Canis lupus familiaris: one gene and its partner. The protein of the gene in region 1 interacts with the protein of each later gene in a biochemical or structural test. Links are inferred from orthologs where the notes say so. Each region holds a gene or a part of one and is shown in the gene's direction. Other genes may lie near its edges.

Region 1 (3,500 bases):
GGGAGGCCAGACCTGGCTTCTGTCCTGGTTCTGCTACTGATTTGCTGTGTGCCCTTGGGCAAGTCCCTTCCTCTATCTGAGCCTCAGCTGCTCCATCTTTAAAGTGGATAGGATTAGGCTAGAAACAGGATGGCAGATAGGTTTTATCTCACATGGAAAATTGATTGATCTCTGTTTGGCTTCTTGAGCAGCTCTCTGGACTCAGCAGGAGAGCACATGAGTCTAGGATTGGAGGTGTAGGTAATGCCCTTAGATACCTGGGGCCTCAGTAAGCAATGTATCATTCTGCCTTCCGGAGGCATACAGAGCCACTTCTTTCTACTCTTTTATGACAGAGACAGAGATAACATCTATATATCCTAGAAAAAAACATTTTAAGAGCATCATCACTTAGTTTATACAGCGAACCCTGGGAAGCTGGTATTACCACTTCCACATCATGGGTGAGGAGGCCAAGGCTCAGGGAGTTAACAGAGCAGCCCTCTGAGGCCAAGCCTGCACTGCTGTCACCAGCCCCATCCCCAGCCTCGTGTCCTGGCTCGCCGCAAGCCCACGGCTTCCCGTTCTCTTGCCCTCTGCAGGTTTCCACGTGATCCCCACTATCTCGAGCATTGTCCCGGAAAGCTGCCTGCTGATCGTAGTGGGGCTGCTAGTGGGGGGCCTGATCAAGGGCGTGGGCGAGACGCCCCCCTTCCTGCAATCAGACGTCTTCTTCCTTTTCCTGCTGCCACCCATCATCCTGGACGCTGGCTACTTCCTGCCACTGCGGCAGTTCACTGAGAACCTGGGCACCATCCTGATCTTCGCTGTGGTGGGCACACTGTGGAATGCCTTCTTCCTGGGCGGCCTCATGTACGCCGTGTGCCTGGTGGGCGGTGAGCAGATCAACAACATCGGCCTCCTGGACAACCTGCTCTTCGGCAGCATCATCTCCGCCGTGGATCCGGTGGCCGTGCTGGCCGTCTTCGAGGAGATCCACATCAATGAGCTGCTGCACATCCTTGTCTTTGGGGAGTCCCTGCTCAATGACGCCGTCACTGTGGTGAGGAGCAGTGGCCACACCCGCATGCACCCGGGGCTCAGACCCGAATCCGGGTCCAGAGCGAATCCCACATCCACCTGCTAATCATAGTAGCGAAACAGCAAATGTCCATTCCTGCTTGCTGTGTGCCAGGCATCGTGCTGAGCACTCGATGTGGATTATCTCATTTAATCCTTGTGATGACCTTAGGAGGTGCTTCTTATTCCCACTTTATGGAGGAGGCAGCAGGCCCCCTGAAGTCAGATACCTTGCTAACATGTGATAGGACCAGGGTTAGAAGCCAGGGACTTCAGGGCCTGAGCTCCTGGCCTTCCCAGGCCATATGTTCTGTCCCTGACTTGGACTGTGATGTGAACTTGGTTAAATTATGTATCATCTTTAGACTTCAGTTTACCCTTTATAGGCCATTTAGTCTATGAGGGCCAGTTTAGCCATCATGTTGGCTGTGCCCTACGTTACAGTTCAGTTTGTGTAGAGTTCAGGGGCAGCCGTGGTGGAAAGGGACCCTGCCCTCAGAACATCCAGAAACGGTGCCTACGTGGCTCAATCTGTTAGAGCCTATGACTCTCCATCTCAGGGTCATGAGTTCTAGCCCCATGTTGGGCATAGAGCCTACTTTAAAAAACTAAAATAAAATTTATTATAAAAACAAAAACACAAACCTCCAGAAAGTGATAAATAAATGGATTGACCTGAGCTTGGCCACTTGCTTATTATGTGACCTTACGCAAGTGACTGTACCTCTCTGGGCCTCACCTTTGTTAGCAGCAAAGTAGCCGAGTAGGTAGTACTTTCCTCCTATGGTCTAGCAAGGACAGGAACTCCTAACGCGGTCCGCACATGGCCATACTGTACGTGCTTACACATGCCCTTCCTCCCAGCTAGCTTCCTCAGGAAACAGATATGTGTATGTGCACACTCACATCATGTTGTGAAAATACCCCCATTCTCCTCCTAGTTGGACTGCTCAGAGAGCAGCTGTACACACAGGAAAACACAAGGACACGTGTGCATGCCAGTGCATACTCACACATGCATTCCCTCTTTACCTTCCCCCAGTCCCTCAGGAAGCCACACTTCAGAGAAGAGACAGTGGTGGTTGGCTTGTCCTCTTCCTCCCCTGTTGCCTTCATTAGGTCCTTGTGGGGCAGCACAGCAGTCTGGTCTAAGCAGGCAGGCCTCGGTGCTGGTCCTTCTAGCACCAGCTCCTGCCTCAGTTTCTCTATCTGTAACAAGGATTGCAGTACCCAGCCTGTCATTCTCCCTGGGTTCTTATAGGAGTCACACCAGTGGGTACCAAAGACCAAGCCCTCTCCAGTTGGATCTGAGTATTGGGTTCAGGTTGGCACTCCTGGGAAACAGTGGGGTGCGGTTATATCAAGACCACCTTGGGCTGCTGGCCACACCTCCCCAGGTGGTGGGAGTGCTGGTGTTAATTGCTCCTGCTCACTTCCTGTCTGAGCACTTCCTGTCTGAATATGTATTGCCTCATCTAACCCAAACAGAAACACCATGAAGTTGGCACTGTATTTATCCCCAGTTTTTCCAAGTGAGGAAATAGCTACTAACAGGGAACTCGTCCAGGGGTATGTTAGCTGGGCCTGGGACCTACACAGTGGGAGTCCAGAATGCACACACTTGCCACTATGCTGCGCTGCCTCTGTAGTCCCATTGATAGTACAACCTGGTGGAAAAGGAGGAGCTTGCCCTCTCTACCTGCCCTGTTGACCCAGATGGTAGACCCTCAGAACCCATGAATCTCCTCAGGCCAGGAGTGAGTTTAGGTGGCCTAGAGCTGAGAACGCACCTGTTGTCCACTGCTGGAGCCCTGCCCCAGCTCCCAGGCAGCACTGGGGTCAGGCCAGTGCTTGGCATCTCCCCTTCTTGCTTGGCCCAAGTCAGGCCCTTTCTAGAGTTCTGGGCATGAGTGTGACTCTTTCCCAACATTAAAGCAGAAGGAGCCCCTGGGCTGCATGGTCTCAGGCCTTTGCTCTGGAGCAGGTCACCCCTGCCCATGCCTCCTTGCCTGTAAGTAGCAGGGGCTTTGGAGAGTTCCTTCTCAGCAATTCTCAGGCCCTCTTCCCTCTCTCAGCGGCCCCAGGCCTGGAAACTGCCCAACTGTTTTCTTGGCAGAGCTGGCTAGGAGTAGGTCCAGTAGCCAGGGAGCCAGCCCCTAAGTAGAGGCAGAGCCTCAAAGTTGCCCCTCTCCAGGAGAGCCTACCCACTGCTGTCAGGGAACAAGTTCTGGGTCTGGTTTTGCCATTGAGGACTCCACCACTCTGAGCTTCAGTGTAGGAAAGGAACCTGGCATCCTTGGGTCGCCTGCCTCATGAGGCTGTTGTGTGTTTAGCAGGATAGCCATTGTCCAAGGGCTTTCTAGTATGTGACCTGCCACGTAAACGTCTGACGATAGCATTACAGTGACTGTTTACTTCCTGGTCTAGGAGGTGGAGAAACA
Region 2 (4,102 bases), on another chromosome or scaffold:
AGGATTCCCCTGGAGGGCTGCGACCCTCAGTTTGGGCCTGTAGTCTATAGGTATGGGCAACCGGTTCTCAGCACCCTTTCCCCAGTGCTCTGTGAAACTAATGTAGGTGGGCCCACCCAGGTCTTTGTGAGCACCAAGTGGCCCATGCCCCCACCCTGGCAATGTCACGGAGCCTGGCACCCAGGACGTACACTGAATACATGCTGAACGTTGATAGCTTCATCACCAGGCACCGTGGAGCACGGTAGTCTGGCCTTGAGAACCAGAGAATGTTGACTTTGAATTTCTGCCCTGGCTGTGTGACCTTTCTGAGAATCAGTTCCTCCCTTGTAAAATGGACGTGATTCCACAGCAACTGCTTTGTGCCATGTCCTGTGGCAGGCCCTTCTGATGGACATCTCACTAACTATCACTGTCCCCTTGCTGAGTAGAAGGAAACACGGTCACACAGGTGGCAGGACTGGCCCTGGTCATCCAGCCTGACCACAGAATCCAATTCCTTAAGCCAATTCAAGGCAAAACTCGCAGGCGTGTTGGAGGCCACCTGTATTACATTCCCCGGATAGGATAGTTTGAGACCCAGCCTCCTGGGTCCTGCCTGAGCCAGAATGGGGGTGTTGGGTGGGAGTCGGGGCGGGGTGGGGCAGGGCCAGGAAGCTGCCTGCTCCTCAAGTTTGAAAGCTCCCCCACCCCAAGCTCCTGGGCTGTGCCACTGGGATGGGCCGCTCTGGCACGTGGTGTGTCCGCTTCATCAAGGTGCTGGGGAGGGGCCTGGGGCTTTCCGGGAATAAGACCAGCAAAGCACCTTGTGCGCATTCAAGGTGGATTACTATGATTACATTACTTTTATTGCTGTTCACCAGAGAGCTAATTAATGTTGGCTGTGTTTCTTCACCGTCCCGGGTGAGTTCCCCTTCTGAGATCTGGGAAGCTGTGTGATGGAACCGGGGTGCAGGTGGACGTGGAACCTCTCCGGGATTTGATTGCGCCCACCTACGCCCCAGCTGTGCGGACACCTGCCTCCTTCCAGAGCCGGGAGGGGGGGCGCGGGCGAGCAGGGCGGCCGCCCTGGGGGCGGGGGCGCCCCGGCGGTGGGCCCCGAGGTCCGGCCCCCGCGCAGCGCTGCCGGCCGCGGGGCAGGGCGCTCCCGGATCCCCGCAGTGCGCGAAGCCGGCGCGCGCTAGGACCGCGGGGCGCCGCCCTTGGCCGCTATAAGAGGCCGCGCTCGCGCCCCACGCGGAACCCGCGGCTCCGCCGTCCCCGCGTCCCGACCCGCGTCCCGACCCGCGCCCGCCCGACGCGGCCCCCGCTGCGCAGCCGCCGCCAGCCCGGGGCCCCGCCGCCGCCGCGGGCACCATGGGCGCGGCCCACTCCGCGTCCGAGGAGGTTCGGGAGCTCGTGGGCAAGACCGGCTGTGAGTACCGCGCGGGCCCCCGCCCCCGCCCCGGCCCCGGCCGCCCCCGGCCCCCGCCGCCCCCCGCCGCCCCCCGCCGCGCCGTGTCACCTTGGCCCGCAGCCGGCCCCGTCCGCGCCTCAGTCTCCCTCTCCCGCAAATGGGTCCCCGCCGGCCGCTTGGCGGGCTGCGGCGATGCTGAGTAAGTGTCGGGGAGCCGGCGGGGCTGGGGGCTGCGGCCCCGAGGGACCCCCCCCCCCCCGGCAGGCGGCCGGCGTCCGCGGTGGGGGCGCCCCGCTCCGGGCTGGAGTCGCCGCGGCTCTGCGGCCGGAAAGTTTCGAAGTCGGCGGGACCCGGGCGGCCGCCGGTGCTGGGGTGAGCCGGTCCGCGCAGCCGGTGGCCGGAGCCCCGCGACCTTGGCCGCCCCGCGCCCCGCGCCCCGCGCCCTGCACCCCGCGCCCCGCCGGGCTGGCCGCGCCGACCGCGGGGGTGCGGGGCAGGGGGGCCGCGGACTCCACCCTGGGCCCGCGCCGTGGGGTGCGGTGAGGAGGCGGGGCCGGCCCGGGGCGATCCGGCGGCGGGAGGGGAGTCCCGCGCGCGCACGCGGCGTCCGGCGGTGTGACCTTGGGCTAGTCACTGCATCTCTCCGTTTCCGCCTCCAGAATGGACGTCCTGCTGGTGGGAGCTCGGAGCTCCGTGCGCCGGCGGTGCGAGCTGCGGAAGGTGCTCCCGGGAAGGAGCCGGCCTCCGCCACCTGCTTGGACTTCAGCGCAGCCCACCGGGCCGTGACTGACCACCTGGGGGGGTGGGGGGGTGGGGGGACCGGGACCCAGCCGCGCGTGACCCCTGCTGACCCCAACTCTAAACACCTCTGTCCGGTGAAAATGACAGAAAGCCCCCCAGTACCTGGGGTGGGGGGGTGGGTTGGTTCCTTGGCTGTACAGACGCACACATCACATGGGGCTGCGTTACATCTTCTCGTGGACAGGCACAGAACTATCCGTGACTGGAGGAAAAAGTGTGTAGTATACACAATGTGTAGGGCATATAACATGCAACACTTTTTAAAAATACTAAGAGCTTATACTTGTGATCTGTTTGCATCAAGAACTCAAACGATCCGCAAGGAAGTAAGAATAGCAAATACTTGCAGATTTGGTGGAAGGGACCGAGAGGGGGTGAGCTCTTCACAGTAAATTTTTTATATTTTCATTTTGAATCCAGTGTAAATAGTCTACTTCAGAAAGTTTTAAGTGCACTTCAACCCCACGGCTAACGTGAGAGAGGTGGGATTCCCCTCTTTCTTTCCTGGGTTTCCCCCCGCCCCGGTTTTGTCACCAAGTGACCTCTTGGTGCCTTGTATTTGGACTGGTGGAAGTTGGGGTTCCTTGTAGCTGGGACATCTGCCAGCATGGTGGCAGCCCCCACGCAGGCACTTGGGGGGAATTCCATCTGGTGGGGAGTGTGACAGGTGATGGGACCGCAGAGCATGCTGGAAGTCATGTCTATTTCCTGGGTCCAGTCTTGTGTGGGCAAGACAGAGCGGAGTGCTCCCCCTGTAGCCTTCCTGCAAGTGGCTGATGCAGCTTCCCTTCTAGTTGCCTGGGATTCCACTTTCATACTCCAAAGGGTGAAGGGAGATGAGGGAGGGGCGCATCAGGAAAGAGGTTGTGAGGTCAGTCTAGAAGGGAGAAGGAATGCCATCAGTTCTTTGAACTTTAGGTGGAAAGATCCCCCTAGTCCTCGGAAAGGGGCTGGCACAGTCTAGGCATTTTAACTCGTTCAGCAAGAATTCATTGATCAAGAGGACTTGGGGACTTAGAGGTGACCCAGAGAGGCTCATGTTCCTGAGGGGGAGACACACAGTGGCATGAGAGTCAGGGGAAGGGTAGGGAAACGTTTCCTTAGGGGAGACCAGGAGGGCTTCTCTGAGGAGGCCAAAATGGAGCAGAAACTCAAATAAAAAGGAACCGTTTACACAAAGATCAGCAAGAAAGTACAGTTTGGGACAGAGGGAATGGCACATGGAAAGGTCCTATGGCAGGAAGACATTGAAGACAAATGATAATTGTAGGAGATGAGGATGCAGCCATAGTCAGGGGGAAGCCGGATTTAAAGGATCTTGCTAGGTATGTGGCTTTGGGCAGGTGTTTAGTAGTATTGGCTACGTTTTTAAACCCATTTGTTTGTCCCCATCACTCCAAACCACGGCTAAGAGTTCAGGCTTGATCCCACTTCTTCCCAGCTACATGACACTCTGAGTGTCAGCGTCCCCATCTGGATCCTCGGGTGGTTCCGTGGATTCAGTGAGATGATGTATATGTGAAGTGCTTAGCTTGGCGTGAGAGTGTCCACTCCCAGGGCCCTGCTCCTACAAGAATCCTTGGGAAGTATTCAGCCCAAGGCCTAGTCAGCCAGGGAACAGGCTGTGCCCACAAGGTTGCTGAGCGGCCCCTGCCTCTTCCAGGACCAGGATGGTCCCTAAATTGAAGAGTCAGTCTGGTCCCTTTCTGAGGACTCCCTCTGGAAATGATGAGCAGGATGAACACAGGATGGTGACGATGGACATCATTCTTTGAGCACCAGGCTCCGTGCTGAATGCTTTGCCTGCACTCTGGTGGAATCTTCATGATAATCCTCCGTGGAAGATGGCAATATGGCCATTGTACAGATAGGGAAACTGAGGCTCAGAGAGGTAAAGCAACTTGG

Evidence for each region.
Region 2: the proteins of SLC9A1 (region 1) and TESC form a complex in vitro, tested with the Homo sapiens proteins (4 studies listed by BioGRID and IntAct, with this or other methods). The link is inferred for Canis lupus familiaris from reciprocal best matches to the Homo sapiens genes SLC9A1 and TESC.

Annotation. Positions count from the first base shown.
Region 1 is NC_049223.1:72,484,607-72,488,106, forward strand, and holds part of SLC9A1 (sodium/hydrogen exchanger 1), read left to right. Parts: intron 1-581; coding exon 582-1,042; intron 1,043-3,500. UniProt on the Homo sapiens protein: Electroneutral Na(+) /H(+) antiporter that extrudes Na(+) in exchange for external protons driven by the inward sodium ion chemical gradient, protecting cells from acidification that occurs from metabolism.
Region 2 is NC_049247.1:14,024,603-14,028,704, reverse strand, and holds the start of TESC (calcineurin B homologous protein 3), read left to right. Parts: upstream 1-1,302; 5' UTR 1,303-1,356; coding exon 1,357-1,414; intron 1,415-4,102. UniProt on the Homo sapiens protein: Functions as an integral cofactor in cell pH regulation by controlling plasma membrane-type Na(+)/H(+) exchange activity. Promotes the maturation, transport, cell surface stability and exchange activity of SLC9A1/NHE1 at the plasma membrane.